Linked DNA regions of Mytilus edulis. The protein of the gene in region 1 interacts with the protein of each later gene in a pairwise test. Links are inferred from orthologs where the notes say so. Each region holds a gene or a part of one and is shown in the gene's direction. Other genes may lie near its edges.

Region 1 (7,990 bases):
AATGCAATTCTATTATTACTTCGAGCAAATAAAGCTTATCAGTACAAATATAATATATATTCAAATACAAATATATCATAAATAAATAAATACATAAAACATACATAACTGATAAATGAATACATCCGAGAAGAATGATGATCTATATTAAAGATTGGTAACTTATAACATGCCTGTTCTACGTTTAAATGCATGGAAATTTTTTTTACAAAGGTTACATATGTCGTTTACATTTTCTGTGCTCAACAACTGTATAAGCTTAAATGACGATGGTCGCTTATAATAATATGGCTTTAAGTCATAAGAAACCTCAAATTAAAAAAAATCATGCATATGTCTTTTTATAACTAAATGGATAGTTTTCATTTTACAACTTATGTACATATACTTTTTTCTGAGGAAAATTCTTTAATTTGTCCACATTTAGAAGAAGTTTATTTATTTTTAATTGCTTGCTTGCTTGCTCCTTATTGCATTATAGCAATCACACTGTAAAATTAAATGAAACTCGTCTTCTATTGTATTTAAAGTACAGAGGGTACATTTTTTCTGATCTATTAACACCGTGATATCGTTCTGTTTCAACATATAAGTTACAAGTATATGAAGAATATCTTAATTTTCTCGTTAAATACACTCTAAAATTCACATGTTTAGTAGGTAAAATTGTAAACAAACATTATTTACACAGTATTTATACAAAAAAAATATTTTGGCGAGCCATCCAATAATTGATTCAAGTATTGATTAGCTTGATCAAATATTCTAGTTTTGATCAAATATTTAACAAATGAGACATGTTATTTACCTCAAAAACATCAACACAAATAAACACCCAACGAATGTTTAACCATCAAACTGAATAAAAATGTATGTTTTTACATGTTACTTTATTTATAAGGAAACGGTGTGCAGAATCACATAATATTCTGACTTCTAGTCAAGCTGTCGTTACTGTTATTTCTCCACGTTACATGTTTTGTATTTTTATTGGGAGAAAGGGGGGGGGGGCAGAGCAATATTTTATTATTACGTTTTTGGTATTGTCCGTCACGTGGCCAAACCCTCGACCTCCCTTTTAATAGTGATCACGAGACCTCTGAATCAGTTTTTTTTTTATCAAGAAAAGTATGTAGTCTACATATTTGTTCATTACTCGTTTACAATTATTTATCATTGTAGACTATTCTTGTCCTTTTTTCTTCTTCTTCTGTCATGTCTGTCATGGCGCTATCGATTGTTTTTACTTTGTTAGTTTGAAGATCTCTTTTAAATATCTTCCATCTCTTACTTCTTTTACTGTACTACGTTTATTTATGGGAGTTAGCCTCTTAGAATTTGAAAAAATTCAAAACAAATACATGTATCCCATAAGAATGCGAAACCAATTATAAATATTTCAAAATAACCACTCAAGATCAAGAATCGTATTAAGTACATGTAAAACCACTTAAAATGATAAGTGTTGTGTTTAGCTGCTAGAATATGTCAATGTTATGATCTTCATTTCTGAATTTGAATTGCGCAGGAATGTGATTTTTTAATCTTTGTGATCTCTATTACAATAATGGAGAGTCGAAAGATACAAGGATAATTCAAACTCATAAGTCGAAAAATAAACTGACTAGTCAACGCCATGGTTTAAAATGGATAAAAAAAAACCAGACAATTGTACACAAAATACAAAAGAGAATACATAACGAGTGAGAAACACGAATCCCGCAAATAAAAATAGGGATGATCTCAGGTGCTCCGGGAGGGAAAGCATATCGTACTCCACATGCGGCAATCGTCGAGTTGCTAATTGCAACATTAAAAATACTTCTAATAGTGTTATTACGACATTAGAAACATATCCGCTATCATCTGTGAAACGGGTATATATATATATATATATCATAATATTTCAACAAATTTATGGATGGCGTCCGTATAATTAAAGAGGGGATTATTTCAACTTCACCACTTGAAATTCTTGGTGTAATAGCTTCCTTTTGATCAGCAACCCTTTGTAAAGGAAATCGTGATAGAAAAATACAATATCGTATCAACTGGGAGATATATACTTCGTGTGCAGATTTTTATGGAATTACATAGAAAAGGAAAGTTCACAATTGGGAAGGTGAAATCATCTCTTTTTGTAATAAAATATGTACACGATATATAGAAAAAAAAGGTGTGGTATATATATCATTGCCAATGAGACAACTCTCCACAAGGGACACAAATTGTCACCGTGTGGCCTTCAATATAAAAAAATAAACCGAAGAACTTAATTTTGAGACAACAAAACTATAGGATTCAATAAAAGAATAACAAACAGTCTACAAAATACTACACAGAAAACACATGAATGAGCAAATTAAATCCTCAATTGTGTGAACTCGACCGTATGGCCAAATTATTCCCTCACACACAGTGTTGCTCTCTTCAAGAATAAATACAACTCGTTCGGTTATTTTTTATTTTTAGGAAGAGAAGACGTCGTGATTTTTTCGCTATATACAAGTGCAACCAATGTGGGTTGATCTGTGATAAAAATATTTGATACCGATAAAATAAATCATAAAAGTGGCCTAACAAAAGAGAGGCTAAGGATACCAATACCAAATGGACATTCAAACTCACAAATCGGAAATAAATTGAAAACGTAATAAAGGAACAGACAAACAAATTTTAAAACAGCAGTACACAAATATAACACAAAAAACAAAAAACTGAGCAACACGAACCCCATCAAAAACTTTTGGTTAACTCAGGAGATCTGTGAGGGTAAGCTAATCTAGATCTTACTCCACATGTGGCACCCGTCATGTTCCTCATGTCCCTTTGACATGTTTGATAAGGTAATATTTTTTACGTCGAATAACCGTTTCACAAATGATATCGGATATGTTCCTTACGTCGTAACTACAATCCCCTTCCCTTTCATGAATGTGAATCACCGTGATTTTATTTTATAAATGTATAATGACGACAGATCTCAGAGTCTGTTGACAATATCTATATAGATAGATAAGTATAACGAATTCTACAAAATATATTATTATCCTTAATTAATAATTCACTTACCATCACAATTCTGCATGTGCATCCGTCCATGTCAAGTACTGGTGAAGTCACATGTGTCAACTTTAAGTCTTCTAATCAAGAATTAATCAATCGAAAATAAGAACATACGACATAAAATGTTTTCAATTTTTTGGTTGATAAAAAAGGTACCAAGAGCAGTAATAAGGGCTATATTAAACCAGGGATATCGTTACCATAATTACTTAAAACCTTTACTAAATTTTTCCATAGATATAAAGATTTGGTTTTGAAGTTTGGTTGTACCTGTAGAAAACTTATTTCAAATGGGATAGCACATCCTCATTTTAACGGAAATGTTGTTAACGGTGCCCGGAAATTAGAAATGATCCATGTAAACTTGTTGCTCCTTTAAATAAACTTATTCTTAAAGGTTACCTATTCAACACTGTGATAAGATCATTGAATATTGTTTTATTGGTATGAAAATTTACTTTGTTATAAGTAGATTAAAAGCTAACTAAATATTACTAGTATGTTATATACATATACATTAACATAAATCTACAATCTGTCGATACCTGTAACTTGGCATTGCACAAGGTCATGTTTTTCTTTGGCTATTTATGACGTCTTTACACTAAATCCATTGAATGTTGGATGTGTACGGATTGATTGCTTAGTCTTAGAGGCATGATTTTTTTATTAGTTGTTAATGGCTTTGAACTAGCTGTCAGATAACTGCGAGTACTCTCAGATCTGTTCATTGTGTCTTTTTGTGTCGGGATATATAAGCACCCGGCCACGTCCACTTTTATTTTTTGTCTATCTGATGAGTTAAGCCTTTTTCAACTGATTTGTATAGTTCGTTCTTATGTTGTACTGTTATACCACTGTCCCAGGTTAGGGGGAGGGTTGGGATCCCGCTAAAATGTTTAACCCCGCCACATTATTTATGTATGTGTCTGTCCCAAGTCAGGAGCCTGTAATTCAGTGGTTGTCGTTTGTTTATGTGTTACATATTTGTTTTTCGTTCAGTTTTTTACATAAATAAGGCCGTTAGTTTTCTCGCTTGAATTGTTTTACATTGTCTTATCGGGGCCTTTTATAGCTGACTATATGCGGTATGGGCTTTGTTCATTGTTGAAGGCCGTACGGTGTCCTATAATTGTTAATGTTTGTGTCATTTTGGTCTTTTGTGGATAGTTGTCTCATTGGCAATCATACCACATCTTCTTTTTTTTATCATTTAGTGCATTACATTCTACGTTAGGGTTTTTTTTTCAATCTGAAAAAACGATTATTGTATATTGAGTCCGAATTGGACTATTTACCGGATTTGATATAACATAAGCAACACGAGGGGTGCCACATGTGGAGCAGGATCTGCTTACCCTTCCGGAGCACCTGAGACCACCCCTAGTTTTTGGTTGGGTTCGTGTTGTTTATTCTTTGGTTTTCTATGTTGTGCCATGTGTACTATTGTTTGTCTGTTTGTCTTTTTCATTTTTAGCCATGGCGTTGTCAGTTTGTTTTAGATTTAATTTATGAGTTTGACTGTCCCTGGTATCTTTCGTCCCTCTTTTAGATATTTGAACATTAGTGTACTAATGTCGACTAAATATTTTTCTTTTCTCGTCGACTTACCGAACTCTGAGGAAAAATTTGAACAAGAAAGTCCCTAATCAAATGCCAAAATTAAACCTCATGCAAACACATCAAACGTCGAATTTATGACAAATGTCATATTTCTCACTTGGTTCTTATAATTCATTAATGATACTATATTATCAAAAATGAAAAATTGTATTAAATGATTGGAGAAATTGTGAATTATCAAAATATTAATTGATTTTTAGGAATATATATAATATATATACAGAATTAACGTTTATATAGACAGGATTGTCTGGTTACCGCCGAAGCCATTTCAAACGGCGTATTCAAAGAAGGTAGAAACAAGTTTCCCTTAAAAATATTCGTATAGTAAAAACCAAAGAAAACCGAAAGGAGGAAATAGAAATTTAGCGCCATAAACACACCAAACAACAACGACATAGTATTTTAATCGTTTTCGATATTATAGAGCTCCAACAGAAATAGATTAACCTTAGAGACGGTAAAATTGTTTAACAATCTTAAATGAGAAACACATGACTTATCCCAGTAGGATATAATGGAAGTTTCTTTGTTGTGATGATTTTGAAATTTAAAATTTCCAAATTTTACTGTTGACTGTTGTCGGAATTATTTAAACAAAAAGATTGGATAACAACTCAGCCTATATAAATCCATGCTCATTAAAGATGTATAGAATACTTCTTGTTTGTTGTAGATGAAAATAATTTATAATGAGTTTTCACGTGAAGTATGGACAGGTCAGGAATAACCACCAATTGGTGGATTATACCTCAATTGACGTTTAATCCACCAATTGACATATAATGGTATAGACCAATTGGTGTATAATTCCTTGTTTTTCAAAACAAATTATTCCACCAAAATGGAGCATTGTTTTTTTAAAACCATATTATGGTATGAAAACTTGTTAAACATTCCTATAGTTTAGTAGTGTAACATTGTAGGATTTAATAATGTCCCCAATGAAAAAGTGTCCACCGGACATAATTTCCTAGTAAATACGGGGTCTTGGGACAATATTAACTTATTTATATGTGTCCTGGACACATTTTTCTATGAAAAACTGTCCTCAGGTATGAAAAAGTGTCCCTGAAAGTGGACATAATTAAATACTATACTTCAGCAAGGATTTGTATAGTTAGAAGGATTGGAATCTCGTGAGCTTTTGCATAGACTGTAGTATAACATCTTATGCGACGCAAGATTTTGTGAGATTACCCGTGATGCATCTGGAAAATGATAAACTAGCTCTGATTAATGGCTGACATTTGCATCACCTAAACAAACTGACACCCGATATGTAAGTATTACAATCCATATTTATCAAATTTTATGCTAAAAATAAGAAGTTTAAAATGGTTCTGGCAAAATAAATAACTTTTACGATCGCAGTAAAAGTACACGGCTCCATAGAATGAATTTGCATAATGACCGAAGTGACCTCACCCTATCCCGCCTATTGGGCGGTCCTAACATCATTTTCTTTTTTTATACTTCTTCCTCAAAATACGAAGATGAGTGAAAAAATTTACATTTTCTGAAAGGTATATGATTTGTTCGTGTATTGAGTAAATTTCGTAGTGATTGATGTATTAATTTTCCTAATTTTTCCGTTTCTTTGAGCTGATTACAACAAAAATGGCGTTCTGGAGCGAAAATGGGGGTGGCTTAGGAAAAATGAATAAAGTTCTTCAATTGGCCTAGATTGATGTTCAAACTAGTTTATAAACGTAAAACATTAGTGATAAAGTGTATAGAAGAAAGCTCAAATCGCTAAATTAGGTAATTGTGATACTTTTCTGTCTTGAAAAATCAATGTGGTTCTCAGATGAATCGCAATTTACCAGGCCGAAATTGGGAGGGGATCCAGTTGTCATAATCAGCTGATACTTCCTTTCTGCTTCAACCGAAATGAAATCGTTAAACCATGTGTTTTGAAGTAGTTGAACGTCAAGCTATGTTCCATAGAAAACACCATAGTTGCATGGATGGTAAGTTTTTAAAATGTTCATCCCAATGCTAGGAACTGACCTTCCTAGTAAATCACGTTGTCGTTGTGTACAAATGAATGGGTCATGTCAGAGTGTACTTTTTTTTACTGACGTTAACACATCAACACAGCTCATCTTCTTAAATTATGCATAGGTAGTGCTGTTTTTGTCTTCATTATAAATTATTTCCACCCAGCTTTATTATGCATGGTATTGTTATGGACTCCCTTCATCTCTATCTGTTTATACCACATACATGTATCACATGCATTTCAAGTTAAACATTTGATACAAGGCTACATTATTTTTTTCCTTCAACGGCTTCAAATTATACATTAAAAAGATGTTTTCCTGCAACGAAGTCAAAGAAAAAAAGAAAAATAGCCTTGCAAGTTGTCTTCTTGCTCAGGGTTCTCACTAAGGCGAATCCATGAGTCCTGAACTTTTTTTGGAATTTGTCTGGACTCCCCACTTCCAAAACTGGTGAGTCCACAGATGCATCAAAATTGAAATATTTTGTATAAAATGAACATACATGTAGTTAACACAAATATCATCATTTTATAGCAAAAGTTTAAAAGTGATCTGAATTTAATGTCATTTCATTGCTCTGTTAGGCCATGAAGACTAAAATATTACATTAGAATGCAACAAAATATTTTCTTCTTGCTGTTGGACTCATCATGGCTAAAAATAACGAGTCCCTGGACTCACCTTCAAAAATCCTTAGCGAGAACCTTGTTCCTGCTTAATAGCCGTCAAGCAAAAAAATGTTGTACCCTTTTAGACTGGTGATTTATTATATTTTGTAGTGTACTGTATCTTAATTTTATGATCCATTGCCCCGTAAGATTATAAATCGTTGGCTATTATTCAGTTATTTTATATATATATATTTAGAAAGACACAAATAGTTCCAGTTTTTTTCCTAAATCACTCAATATTAAATTTTCCCATATTTTTTTATTGTTTAATTTCAATATTGTGAAAATATGAAAATTTCAATTTGTCGTTTAAACACCCACATGCATGTTATAACAATGTGCTACATAATTAATGATTCATTTAGGTCCTGCATTACCCATTATGATTTGTAAATGTGTATATACATAGGTTTGTAGTTAAGCAAGCACCATTAAATTAAAGAATGATTTTTTTTGTTTGCGAGAACTTGCGACATCAAATGATACTACAATATTTAAAATATAAAAAAAAATTACAAACATTGCTACATGAAGATAATTCCTGAACTTGCACAAGCTGGCATATATGTAACATAAACCCATAAATTAGAAAACTAACATAAATCTTGCAAATATAATTGTTCA
Region 2 (7,189 bases), on another chromosome or scaffold:
AGACAAATATCGATAAATCTACCGATAGTGAAAAGACACTTTTATTCAAATTACAAGTAAGATTATATAACCTGTTAAAAAAAAGTAACAATGAACATTTAAAATTAAAAGTATCATTATTGTTAAAAATAAAACATTTACATTTTACAACATTGTTCAATATGGTAATACAGTTTATTATCTAAAAAAATGTGTTAATTTTCAAATAAATATAATGTTAATTTATGCATACATAGAAAATAGCCATTTTGGTCAGATTCAGAAAGGCCAATAAAAAGTGATGTTCAAGGCAAAATGAAGTATCGTTTTACATTAGGTGGTAATTGATAATCAGTTCTATGGTTTAAGGGGGTCTGCATTACATGTTTAAAGCTCACTGTCAAAAAAGGTGATTTTCCAACCCTGATAAACCCCAATATCCTTAAAATCAGTAGCAACTACAACTTAGCCTTATAATGGTTAAAATATTTTTGAAACCTAACACTGGTTTTTAAATATATTTTTGAAAATTTATGAGATTTAAGAATATATGATTATAATTTAGTGATTATAAACACACAGATTAAGCTTGGTATACAATAAACCACTTGACTGTATTGAAGGGATGTCACATGTTGATAAAAATAAGGATAAGCAAGCATGTATGTTTGCTCCCAAAGTTAGGGAATCAAAACACTAGAAATCCCCTTTTTGCTGCCAAATAGACAAATTTCATGTTTATTGCATTTCCATCAAAATATAAAACGTCTTTGCATGAATTTTTAGGCAAATTAAATTCTTTTAATTAAGATTCAGCACTGCTGTCATTAGGAAATTGTGATTAAGTAACAATGTTAAAAAGAACAAACATTATTTCTAGGTTATCCTGCATAATGACAATCACAAAGATTCTAGATAAACTTGAAGAGAGCAGGGATACAGGCACTTCCTTCTATCTGGTAAATGACGTAATAAAGATGCACAAAATTGACAAACTTTTCCTGTGGAGGACATAACTCGAAAGTAGTCTATTCAACAAACATTTGAGGTCATCAGATAAAACCTAGCAGGTCTTTTTATATTCAGAAAAAGGGGAGGTCAATTTTTCTAATTAGCATAGTTTAACTTTATAAAACATTTGTAATAGAGTACTCAGTAGTAGTTTATACATTATTTAAAGAGGGCATCAGAACACATAACACGAATCTCCCATTTAGATCCTCAAACAAATTAAACCAAATAACTACAAATATCACAATGACATTCAAATATATAACCAACTATGTATATATACCATAATGTTAGTCCATCATGCTAAATTTGGAACAAATACTATCATAAGTGATAAAAATATTTACTCTGGTATTATACTTTTAGTTTCATTGATAAAATGTCTAGTTTGCATTTTGAATAATCTTGATGTGGTTTGTACAGAATATGTACAGAAATATAGCTTATATAAGTTTGCACTTAGTAAAAATAGCTGATTTACAAACCATGCCCATTTTGAAAGATTATATAGGTATTTTGTTCTGTTTACCTTCTGGATTCCTTCTTCATGTTTCATCTCATTGAGACACAACTTGAAAATTTGACATGTTTATGTCTTAGTGTTACAGTTAGATACCAGTCAAATTGAATTTTCAGGAAGACTGAAAGTAAAGGGAGAGACTTTAAGAACAGAATTCAAGTATAAGTTTAAACCCTTAGATATTCAATGCATATATACATATCTTAATTATGCCGCACAGCCCTATGAGACATGTGCAAATAATAATCATTGATAACAGTGCATCTCAACTTTTCATTTCAGGATATACTTGGTTAGGAAACTACAGTTTTAGCCATAAAAGGAGATCCTATGGGTATTATCATGGTTTAATTTATATTTACAGAAGTGCAGACCATACATGTTATCTTGTGTCATCAGTCTGATTAAAACCAGCCCACACTATCCACTTGCGTTAGTGGAAACAAGTAAATAGTGGGGGCTGGTTCTAATCAGGACTAATCAGACTGTTGTGTCATATATATGAGTTTAATTTTACAAAATATTTACCTAACAGTTTTGTGTTTTTTGACAATAACTCCTTCAGTCCATCTCACTAAGGAATTCCTGCAAACAAAAATATACATTTATCATTAATTCTATCTATTTCTCATCATATTCTTTAACACTAAAATGAATATTGTAAACGACTAAAGAACAAGAGGCTCATAAAAGCCTTGATTGTTCACTTGGCAAAATAAAGGACAATCAGATGTTCTTTTTTTTCAACATTTTTTGCACTCTATGAATATGTTTTGGCACTGAATACTCAGTTTCAAAAATACAGATTTTCAATAGCATTCATGTTAAATCAAGAGGAATAACCCATTTTTGTTATTCGGTAACAGGGTCACAATAGCTATTTTCAAAAGATTCAAGATCAGGATTATATTTTTCTAGCCAAGTCTTCCAATCCTCCCAATTTTTTACTCCTCTCAAAATAGCCCTCAACTGTATAATAATTATAATGATCATAGTAGTCTCAGTTTAAATTTAAAGGATCTTTTCCTTCTTCTTCAGTTACAAAAAACCATGTTTACTTTCAGGCACATGCCTGGTTAGTTTTTTTTCAGAATAATTTATTTATAAATTTTTGTTATGTCAAATACTTGTTATTTTCTCAGTTTTTTTGTTTTTTTGTTTTTTTCTAATAACTGAGGGGGAGGACAGGGGGTACCCTTCTCCCTTCTCCCACCCCTCTTCTCCATTCTCCTACCCCCGTTCTCCTTTCTCCCATTAGAATAAAACATCTCCTTTTGAGATATTTTTTCTTGAAATATTAGATCATTTTTTAAAAGGAGAGATATTTTATTTTTTCTCCTTTCTCCCAGCCTTCCTCTCCTTTCTCCTACCCCCTTTCTCCTTTCTCCCACCCCGTTTCTCCTTTCTCCTACCCGGTATCAGGTCCGTTCGCGCCCAAAACACTTTCGCATCCTACACGTTCGCACCTCGCACGTTCGCACCCAAGGTCCATTCGCACTCTACACATTCGCGCCCAATTTTAATTCACATTCCAGTTGAATAATTGGAAAATTATGATTGTTGTTTAAAGTTGCTTTGGTGTAAATACTGAATGTTTTTATAGCTTAATATGAGTAAAACTTTGAAGATTTTAAATGAAAAACACAAAACGGATAATTGTTTTTAACAGCTTGGTCCCTTTGACCTGAAACAATCACACAATTAAATATAGCAATACACTATTTATATAACCAAAACATGATAACATTTATTCAACACAGAAGAAAAAAACGTAGTCAGAATCTCCTTTCATTTTAAAACAAGTCAACTTGAAACAAAAGTTACAGCAATACACTAACCAAAACATGATTAAGAGTTATTCAGCACAAAATAAAACGTTGACAGAATCCCACTTTATTTAGAAAGGATTATTAATTTTTTTAACAATACACTATCCAAAACAGGATTAAGATTTGATCAACACAAACAAAATGCTGTCTCACTTTATTTTGAGACGATGACAACAATTATACTTATTAGAATACACTTGACAAAAATTTGATTACAAAGTTATCAAACACAAAACCAATTAAAATTGGGCGCGAACATGTAGGGTGCTAACAGACTTTGGGTGCGAACATGTAGGGTGCGAAAGTGAAAGGGGGCGAACATTAGTTGGTGCGAACGTGAATGGGCGCGAACGGACCCAGATTCCTCCTACCCCCTTTCTCCCTGTCCTCCCCCTCATAACTCCTTGTTGTAAAAGTTCTGTATTACCCTTAATTAATTCATGACAGTTTCATTACGCCTTTTGTGTCAACTTTTCACTAATGATCACTAACCACAAAAGTTACTTTTTATGACTAATCTTGTAATCTGTTATGATCTAGTATGTCTTTTTTTAAATGTACTGTTAGTGATTACTTCATAAATTTCGCGGGATTTAGAGTAACTTCCCTTTCAAATATTTTACAGTAAAGTGTTGAAACTGAGTCTAGATTGAGTTTATTTCTAAACCTGATAATTTATTTCTAATTATTTATTTTTGTTTGGTTGTGATTTTCTCTGAATATTTTTTTTCAATGGATTTGATTAAAATCAATTGCTTAACAAAACCAGAGAGTGAATTTATCTTTGGCATACTTCTCAATATCTGTAACGTAATGAACACTGCACTGTCGTCATACAAAAGTTGTTTCCCCTTGTAAAAAAAGCTTGCCGGTTTGAACAATAACTGTTTATTTTTAATTCAGAGGCAATATAGTATTTAAAGTTTAAAATGCCTGTCGAATCCGTTGTGGAAGAACAGCCGAAGGAGACAGAAGCTCCAGTAGACAGAGAAAAGGTATAAAAGCACAGCAAGTTCCAAAAAATTATGTCCCTTTTGCACAGGCACTTGTTTCTATGTATGTATGTACTCGAGATTCCGCCAATTTAGACGCACCCCTTGATTGACTGCAAGGGTACAGCGGATCCATGTACACTCCCTAAGGATTAATGGAGATGTGTCCTTTACAATATTATCCCACCACCAGAACAATCCCCACCCAACACCGCCCAAGGGAGCGTGTAAGACACAGGGAAGTCTGTTATTATTGTGGAGGAAGCCGAAGTACTCGGAGAGAACCACCGGGGCCACTCGGTGGAAACAGACAAACCAGAGAGATATCAGAAGATTGATCTCCAGGTCAAAGTAGGGGGGACACCTTTGACCAACCGAGGCCCCCTTTAGTTTAAACATATTTATTTATAGTGGATTGGGAAACAAGTTTTGCAACTTATATTAATCCCTTTCCACTTTGCGGGTGCAAGTGCTGCCTTGTAGCGGCATTAGCCTACTCTTTTTCGAAATCTACAAGGGTGTCTTTAACGTGCAAGAGATATGGCTCTCTCTTAACACGGGTCAGCCATTTATCGTCCCCTTCCGACGGACTATCATCGTTTCCTCAAGACCATACTCGCAGATGGTGTCAAGGGAGAGCCGAAAATTGAGTTCCTAAAATTTTCATCCCAAACGGGAATCGAACCAGGAACCTTTGTGTTAGTAGTCCGATGCACTAACCACTACACCACGGCCCCCTAAGTACCCATTCTAGTTTAAACTCCGGTCTGGGTACCAGAGATGTGTGTGAGAGGGTGAAAATTACCCTTCTGATGTACTGATATTTTTAGCACCCCGAGTGAGAATCGAACTTGAGACCTTCAGCACTGTAGCCATCGGTCTTAACCACTAGACCACGAACTCACACTCTATCTAATTACATTTGTATGTGTGATTTACTATCCACACCAATACGTTTAGATAGCTATAAGTATTTGTAAAGATTTGGACAATAAAAAAAGCACAATATTTATCATGTTTATTAGCACAAAAATGTAAATATCCTACCGTAGTCTACAAATTATCAGTCATCTTGTTGCAAATTATGTTGGTTCGTTCGTTATATGTGTTTGTACTTATCACATGAGAAAACTCCACATTGACATCACTACGCTATTACCAGCGTTCAAAATTAGTGCAGAATACGTTTTCCCTACTCTTTTAAGGTTCATCATATCAAATGGACAAATATGGCCGTATTTTCACCTCAAAAACTACTCTGTGTACAGACTTACCTTTGCTGTTTGGAAAGTTTTAATGCCTAGCATCCACTAGATATATAAAAGTTAAATGCATTTTGTGTTAAAGAAAGATAAAATCTTTTTTTGGTTTTTGCTGGGCATTTTTTTTCCCTTTCTGCAGAAGGTGTAAAAATAAACAAACACCTGAATTACTTTGATACTGTCCACTCACTGACTCATATGAACTCTTTAACTCACCTGTAGTTGTGAAGATACCTCTTGTCCATGTAAATTAAGGACAATCAAAACAATACAAACCGGTTTTTTACCTGAGGGAGCATCTCATAGTTGTACCACAACTTAGATAATTTTCAGACCTTTTGCATGAAGGAAAAAAGAATGCCCATCATATTCCAAAAGAGACTTTATCTTTCTGAAACACAAAATGCATTTAACTTTATTATATCTAGTGGATGCCAGGCATTAAAACTTTTCCAACTTCACAGGTAAGTCTGTACTCAGAGAAATTTTTGGCATGTAAATACAGCCATATTTGTCCGTTTGTTATGATGAACCTTAAATAACAATCATTTCTAAAGATAAGTTTCCATTGTTATTGAAAAGTATTGTACACAAACGTCATTTTTCTAATTATGGCCATTTCAAACCTGCATTACAATAAAATGATAAAATAATTCAAATTACGTTTATTTTCATCAATATTAAGAGTTTCATGAGCATTATTTGTATGTTAAAGTCTAAAATCAATATAAAGAAAAAGGTCTCCGGATGCATAATTTTTTCCGGATTCACGGTGTGTGTACAGTATAAATAATAAAATACAAATACATTTATAATTTAATAGTAATCAGTTCAAGTATCCTTGATCTATTTCATCAGTTATATTTTGATATTTGTTTCTATTAAATATTTTATTGAAGACATAGTCATAGAAGGGAAAAAATGGAGAAAAAAAAATATATTTGTGGTCTGCAGAGTTCAAAAAGTGTGGTGTTATAGACTCTCCTTTTCTGTTCTATGTAGATATTTGGTCCCTTAATCTTATGATTTGTTGAAAAAATAACTTAAATAATTTTTTGAGATCACATTTATAATGATAAAATACATTTTTGGGGTGTTCAGTGGTGAAAAGACCTACCGAAAATGACTGTGTTTTCACCTCAAAACCTGACTAGGTGCCCATTTAACCAGGCGCTGACTCCATGTTTGCCCTCTTTCACTTTTGCACAATACACATTGGCATCCTTTTTATTGGTTTTGTGTTTAAAAATTTTGTAATTTAGTTTTGGTTAGTGTCTAAAACAATTTATTGATATTTGGAATTCTGCACTGCTTGACCTTAGAATTTGCGCCTCTTGACCTTGACACCATATAACAATCACTTTTCCAAATGTGGTGTCAAATATTTATGTCAAGTAATTGCAGACAAATAGCCATTAGGTGTTTTGCTAAAAGCTATAAATATTTTTTTTCTTCCTTTCCTAATAAATATGATAAATTGACATTTTGAAAATGTTTTTTGCGTTGAATAAATCTTAATTATGTTTTGGTAAAGTGTTTTGCTATGAATATGTTTTTTTCAATTGTTCAAAATAAAGTGACATTCTGACAAAAAAA
Region 3 (7,114 bases), on another chromosome or scaffold:
AGGGTTGAGATCTCACAAACATGTTTAACCCCGCCGCATTTTTGCGCCTGTCCCAAGTCAGGAGCCTCTGGCCTTTGTTAGTCTTGTATTATTTTAATTTTAGTTTCTTGTGTACAATTTGGAAATTAGTATGGCGTTCATTATCACTGTACTAGTATATATTTGTTAAGGGACCAGCTGAGGGACGCCTCCGGGTGCGGGAATTTCTCGCTACATTGAAGACCTGTTGGTGACCCTCTGCTGTTGTTTTTTATTTGGTCGGGTTGTTGTCTCTTTGACACATTCCCCATTTCCATTCTCAATTTTATTTTCCTTTTATTAAGATACCTCCATGTCTTGTAGTTTTTTTTTATTTTGTTTGGGTGTTATCTCATTGCCGTTTATCCATACTCTTCTTTTATAAAGATGCATTCATGTCTTGTGGGTTTTTTTTTTTAAATTTTGTTTGGTTGTTATCTCATTGTCGTATATCCATATTTGTCTTCTCCTTTTGTTAAGATGCCTCTATGTCTTGTAGTTTATATTTTGTTTGGTTGTTATCTCATTGCCGTATATCTATACTCCTCCTTTTATTAAGATGCCTCCATATCATGTGTTTTTTTTTATTTTGTTTGGTTGTTATCTCATTGCCGTATATCTATACTTCTCCTTTTATTAAGATGCCTCCATATCATGTGTTTTTTTTATTTTGTTTGGTTGTTATCTCATTGCCATATATCCATACTTCTCCTTTTATTAAGATGCCTCCATATCATGTGTTTTTTTTTATTTTGTTTGGTTGTTATCTCATTGCCGTATATCCATACTTCTCCTTTTATTAAGATGCCTCCATATCATGTGTTTTTTTTATTTTGTTTGGTTGTTATCTCATTGCCATATATCCAAACTTCTCCTTTTATTAAGATGCCTCCATGTCATGTGTTTTTTTATTTTGTTTGGTTGTTATCTCATTGCCGTATATCCATACTTCTCCTTTTATTAAGATGCCTCCATATCATGTGTTTTTTTTATTTTGTTTGGTTGTTATCTCATTGCCATATATCCAAACTTCTCCTTTTATTAAGATGCCTCCATGTCATGTGTTTTTTTATTTTGTTTGGTTGTTATCTCATTGCCGTATATCCATACTTCTCCTTTTAGTAAGATGCCTCCATGTCATGTGTTTTTTTATGTTGTTTGGTTGTTATCTCATTGTCGTATATCAATACTTCTCCTTTTATTTAGATGCCTCCATGCCTTGTAGTTTTTAACCGGATTTTTGTGACAAAAATGTCGGTTATTGATTTGGGGATGTACGGCGGGCGGTCGGGCGGTCGGGCGGGCGGCAAACAAATGTTGTCCGTGCATTTACTCATGAACCATTCATCCAAAGCTTTTAAAATTTTAATATGTTGTTACTGACAACAAAATGAAGGTGAAGTTCAAGAATGACGATTTTGACTTTTACCGTTCAGGAGTTATGGTTCTTGAAAGATTGAAAAATGGCGTTTCCAGTCGTGTCCGTGCATTTACGCATGAACTGTTCAACCAAAGCTTCCCAAATTTTAATATGTTGTTACTGATGAAAAAATGGAGGTCAAGTTCAAGAATGAGGATTTTGACTTTTACCGTTCAGGAGTTATGGTTCTTGAAAGATTGAAAAATGGCGTTTCCAGTCATGTCCGTGCATTTACTCATGAACTGTTCACCCAAAGCTTTTCAAATTTTAATATGTTGTTACTGATGACAAAATGGAGGTCAAGTTTAATAATGTCGATTTTGACTTTTACCGTTCAGGAGTTATGGTTCTTGTGATATTGCCAGGACACAAATAAATGAATAAATGTTAATCATATTGAAATCCGGTTTGCTGTCGTTGTGACAGCCTCTTGTTTTATTTTGTTTTGTTGTTATCTCATTGCCGTATATCTATACTTCTCCTTTTATTAAGATGCCTCCATATGCATGTCTTGTGGTTTTTTGTTTTGATGGCCGGTTGTTGTCTCATTGCCTTATATCCATACTTTTCCTTTTATTAAGATGTCTCCATGTCTTGTATTTTTTTATTTTTTTTTTGGTTGTTATTTCATTGCCGTATATCCATACTTATCCTTTTATTAAGATGCCTCCATATGCATGTCTTGTGGTTTTTTTGTTTTGATGGCCGGTTGTTGTCTCATTGCCGTATATCCATACTTCTCCTTTTACTAAGATGCCTCCATGTCTTGTATTTTTTTTTATTTTGTTGGGTTGTTATCTCATTGCCGTATATCCATACTTTTCCCTTTATTAAGATGCCTCCATGTCTTGTATTTTTTTTTGTTTTTTTTTTGTTGTTATCTCATTGCCGAATATTTATTCTTCTCCTTTTATTAAGATGTCTCCATGTCTTGTACATTTTTTATTGTTTGGTTGTTATCTCATTGCCGTATATGCATACTTCTCCTTTTATTAAGATGTCTCCATGTCTTTAAGTTTTTGTTATTTTGTTTGGTTGTTGCCTCTCATTGTCGTATATCATACTTCTCTTTTTATTAAGATGCCTCCATGTCTTGTGTTTTTTATTTTGTTGGGTTGTTGTCTAATTACCGTATACTCATACTTTTCCTTTTATTAAGATGCCTCCATATCTTGTATTTTTTTTATTTTTTTGGGGGGGGGTTGTTTTCTCATTGCCGTTTATTCATAATTCTCCTTTTATTAAGATGCCTCCGTGTCTTGTGTTTTTTTTGGTTTTTTTTTGATGGCCGGTTGTTGTCTCATTGCCGTATATCCATACTTTTCCTTTTATTAAGATGCCTCCATGTCTTGTAGTTTTTTTTATTTTAGTTGGTTATTATTTCATTGCCGTATATCCATACTTCTCCTTTTATTAAGATGCCGCCATGTCTTGTTGGTTTTTTTTTCATTTTGTTTGGTTGTTATCTCATTGCCGTTTATCCATACTTCTCCTTTTATTAAGATGCCTCGATGTCTTGTGGTTTTTTTTTATGGCCGGTTGTCTGTATCTCATTGCCGTATATTCATACTTCTCCTTTTATCAAGATGCTTCATTTAATTAAGTATGTCTGCAGTCATCACCGTTGACTAGTACCTAATCTTTCATTGGAAAAGACACTCTAGACAGTTATCACAAGTTACTTGACTTCTAAATAGGACTCAGTGGCGGATCCAGAAATTCAAGTTTCATAAGTGGGGGCCCACTGACTGACCTAATTAAGAGGGGGCCTGCTCGAGTGTCGCTTCAGTGATTCCCTATATAAGCAACACAGGCACTTGTTTCTATCCATACGAAGGTCGACTATCCATATAAATGGATAGTCGACCTTCGTATGGATAGAAACAAGTGCCTGTGATAAGCAACCGATTTTTTCCCCAAAAAGGGGGGCCCGGGCCCCCTGCCCCCCCCCCCTAAATCCGCATCTGGGACTGGTCGAACAAAAATATTACATCATGACACAATGTAATTCTTTTAAAATATTAAGAACTATTTAAAAGTAAGTTCAGTGGTCGAACGTTTTCAATACTGATAAAACTCAAGTTAAAACTTATCCCGATAAAATATATCCAAAAGAAACCATGTCATCATGAATTTCTACAATTCTAAGACTGTGACAAGTTAGTATACTGAGGGGGTGGACAGGGGTAAGGGAGACAGGGAGAAAGGGGGTAGGATAAAGGAGAAAGGGGGTGGGAGAAAGGAGAAAGTGGGTAGGAGAAAGGAGAGGAAGGCTGGGAGAAAGGAGAAAAAGTTGGAGAAAGGAGAAAAAATAAAATATCTCTCCTTTTAAAAAATGATCTAATATTTCAAGAAAAAATATCTCAAAAAGAGATGTTTTATTCTAATGGGAGAATGGAGAACGGGGGTAGGAGAAAGGAGAAGAGGGGTGGGAGAAGGGAGAAGGGTACCCCCCTGTCCTCCCCCTCTATACTCAGAGACATATAATACAATACTCGAGGGAAAGTTCCTGTTGAAAATTCTTAAGTATTTAGTCCTTTTGTTTTAATTTTAAATTCAATAAGGGGCTAAATTATTCTTAGATTTAATCAATTAATTAAAATGTTTTCGTGGATACTTTAAATATCTAGTTTCGGATTCGACAAAATTCCAATACAAGTTTATTTTAAAATTATTCCGGGAAGAACTATACTTGATTGTCGTTCGTTGTTAATAGAGGGCGCTGCAATTTAACATCGCTTGACTCGAACAATGGCCTCACAACACAGCAAGAAAAGAGTCTGTTATTATTACGATGGTATGTTCATAAACAATATTTTAGTTTTCGACCTCTCAAATATATCGATTGCTTCTTTAAGGGGACTGAAAGTGGTACTATACTCACTTAATAGGAAAAACTTTTGTTGGAAGCGTCCGTTCCCCTATGCAGGCCCCAAAAAGCCGCTCACGTTTGGATGTAAAAATCTGAAATTATGTATTGTTAAATCATTTTTTATGTTTATTTATGATGAAAGACATATTATATTTGTTCTGGTATTGTTTTGAATTAATTTATTGCAGAGAAACACTAATTATACAAAATCGCGCCTATTTCCTTTGAAAAACTATGGAAGCCCATTTTCCCATGCTCGGCGTACGAAAGTAACAATTTTTTTAAAACACTTTTATTTCAGTTAAAAATCGTTTTTGGCTGAATTATTTAAGGGAAAGAGCATTTTGCAACCCTTATGATATGAAACAAGCATTTTATTACTTTTATTATCAAAAGTTTTGAATTTGCTGATAGAACATTAAAATTCAATCTATGGAAGCCCATTTTTCTTTTATATTTTATGCTATAGTAGGGACCAAAGGACAAAGGATTGTGAAACTAAGATAAATAATGCAATGTCATTGTCTCCTCAAATTATTTTAGGGAAAGGGGTCTCATTTCAAATATGAATCTTCTATTTTTCTAACTCTTTGGTAGCTAATAATATGATTTTGACTATAAAATGAATTATTGTAAGGTGAAATTGAGGCTTGTTATTCAGACTAGAAATTTATAATAAAAAATTGAAATATAATTTAAATAGAATTTTGTTTATACATGTATTTCGTTAAAACTGTAAGACTAAAATAAATGATGAGGCTTTGAATAAGTAGATGACAGATACTAATTTTGTCAGAACTATGGACTTGTTTAATATGTCCAAAGTGATGAGTTGGCTTGCTGAACTTTTCACGAACAATTCTTTGTGAAAACCATGCTCTAGCTTTTTTTAATGTCCTGAATTTTGGATAACCAATCTAATATTCTTGTACAGCTATATTTCCATATTCAGTTTCTCACTTGAAATCATAATTGAATAATTAAATATTTCCATTGAATAGGAGACATTGGAAATTACTACTATGGCCAAGGTCATCCCATGAAGCCACACAGAATACGTATGACACACAACCTTATACTTAATTATGGACTTTATAGGAAGATGGAAATTTATGTAAGTACAAGTATAAATAATGTTGATCAATAAAATTTCTGCAGTCTCTACAAGTATAAATAATATTATATTCCAAACTTTTTTCCTTCAAAACGATCTTTATTATAAATAGTATTGTATTGTACACTACATTTATTTGACATACATTGTAGTTCATTAATATTTTGGTGGATGACATTGTGACCCACAATCTTCTCAGTTATTTTTCTAAGAGCATTGGTGCATTAATTGATGACTATGTAGTTTTTCATATTATTAAACAGAAAATGAAGAGACGCAGATCTAGAAAAGTTTTTTTATATAAATTATTATTTTTCAACAGAGACCACACAAAGCCACACAAGAAGAAATGACAAAGTTCCACAGTGATGACTACATCAAGTTTTTACGAAGTATAAGACCAGATAACATGTCGGACTACAACAAACAGATGCAGCGATGTAATAATATATAATGTTATTAACTTTATCTCTCTTTAGTAACATCTCTACAGTATAGCCTTTTGAAGCTAATACGGCAAAAATCAAACATCAATCAATTAAAAATCGTCTTTTAATTCAATGCTTAAAATAAGTTGTAACAGTTCAAGAGTTATGCCCCTTTACAGTAACAAATGGAAAAATTGTTGAATGTTTCGTTTCTGTTCTGATTTTTTACTTTAGTTTGTCTTAATCAAATGTTATGTAACTTATACCCAATGCTTTTTACAACAAAAATCAGATCAAGTACAAATTTGGGCAGTCACTTTTTACAGTTCTGGGATTCATATGTCCCTTTCGGACATTATATGCAAGTGGGGGCATCATCTGTGTCCCATTGTGTGACACATTCACCATTTATCCATCATGTCCATACTGGTTAAAGTTTTACTTTTAACAAATTAAATTTTAAATGACCAAGAATAACTAAAATTAAATACTATATGTGTGAATTACAAAGTTACTAAGTAAATTTAATCGTCTGAAAAAAGTGTCTACAGAATAGTTGCTCTCATTTCAGTACTTATTTTTTGTTGAAACATAAATTCAAAGCTGAACATTATTGAAGGCCATAGCAAATAACAGTCTGCACCAAAAACTTTTTCAACTACTAGTCCGAAGACCAATATTCTGACATTTTTCTTATTGGGCCAAACAAAGTTTTGCAAAAACTTACTAGTCCGAAATGAAATTTTACTAGTCTGGGGCATCGGACTAGTGGCTAACCGTGCAGACTGAAAGTTTTTATGAATACTTTGATAATACCGGTCAATTGTACTAATGTAAATAAATGTAAATTATAAGATCTATAAATCTTTTCAGTTAACGTTGGAGAAGATTGCCCTGTATTTGATGGAATGTATGAGTTCTGTCAGCTGTCAACTGGTGGCTCTGTTGGTTAGTATTAAATACTCTGACAAGTTAACGTTGGAGATGACTGCCCTGTTTTTGATTTGATGGAATGTATGAATTCTGTAGATTAGTATCACATATACTCTGACAAGAACAAATTTCTTGTTTTAACATTTTTGAAAATTATATTTTAGAAGTAATTATGCATATTCAAAGTACTAAAACCATTTTATCTGAGTGCAGTATAGTGAACCTGTACCATCAAATGTAGTACATTTATAAGGGTACTCTGGCATGTGGTGGCCTTTTTAGGACTTTCTAGCTATAGGAATGTGATATCTCAATAAACTAATATTGTA

Evidence for each region. The genes of interacting proteins can lie anywhere in the genome.
Region 2: the proteins of histone-lysine N-methyltransferase EZH2-like (region 1) and histone deacetylase complex subunit SAP18-like interact in binary tests that used the Drosophila melanogaster proteins (3 or more experiments, as listed by UniProt). The link is inferred for Mytilus edulis from reciprocal best matches to the Drosophila melanogaster genes E(z) and Bin1.
Region 3: the proteins of histone-lysine N-methyltransferase EZH2-like (region 1) and probable histone deacetylase 1-B interact in binary tests that used the Drosophila melanogaster proteins (3 or more experiments, as listed by UniProt). The link is inferred for Mytilus edulis from reciprocal best matches to the Drosophila melanogaster genes E(z) and HDAC1.

The regions. Positions count from the first base shown.
Region 1 is NC_092357.1:18,270,115-18,278,104, forward strand, and holds the start of histone-lysine N-methyltransferase EZH2-like, read left to right. Parts: upstream 1-4,965; 5' UTR 4,966-5,149; intron 5,150-7,990. UniProt on the Drosophila melanogaster protein: Polycomb group (PcG) protein. Catalytic subunit of the Esc/E(z) complex, which methylates 'Lys-9' and 'Lys-27' of histone H3, leading to transcriptional repression of the affected target gene.
Region 2 is NC_092353.1:33,376,750-33,383,938, reverse strand, and holds the start of histone deacetylase complex subunit SAP18-like, read left to right. Parts: upstream 1-4,166; 5' UTR 4,167-4,268; coding exon 4,269-4,334; intron 4,335-7,189. UniProt on the Drosophila melanogaster protein: Involved in the tethering of the SIN3 complex to core histone proteins. Interacts with bicoid (bcd) to repress transcription of bicoid target genes in the anterior tip of the embryo; a process known as retraction.
Region 3 is NC_092344.1:100,942,577-100,949,690, forward strand, and holds the start of probable histone deacetylase 1-B, read left to right. Parts: upstream 1-4,091; 5' UTR 4,092-4,189; coding exon 4,190-4,235; intron 4,236-5,311; coding exon 5,312-5,424; intron 5,425-5,746; coding exon 5,747-5,864; intron 5,865-6,725; coding exon 6,726-6,800; intron 6,801-7,114. UniProt on the Drosophila melanogaster protein: Catalyzes the deacetylation of lysine residues on the N-terminal part of the core histones (H2A, H2B, H3 and H4).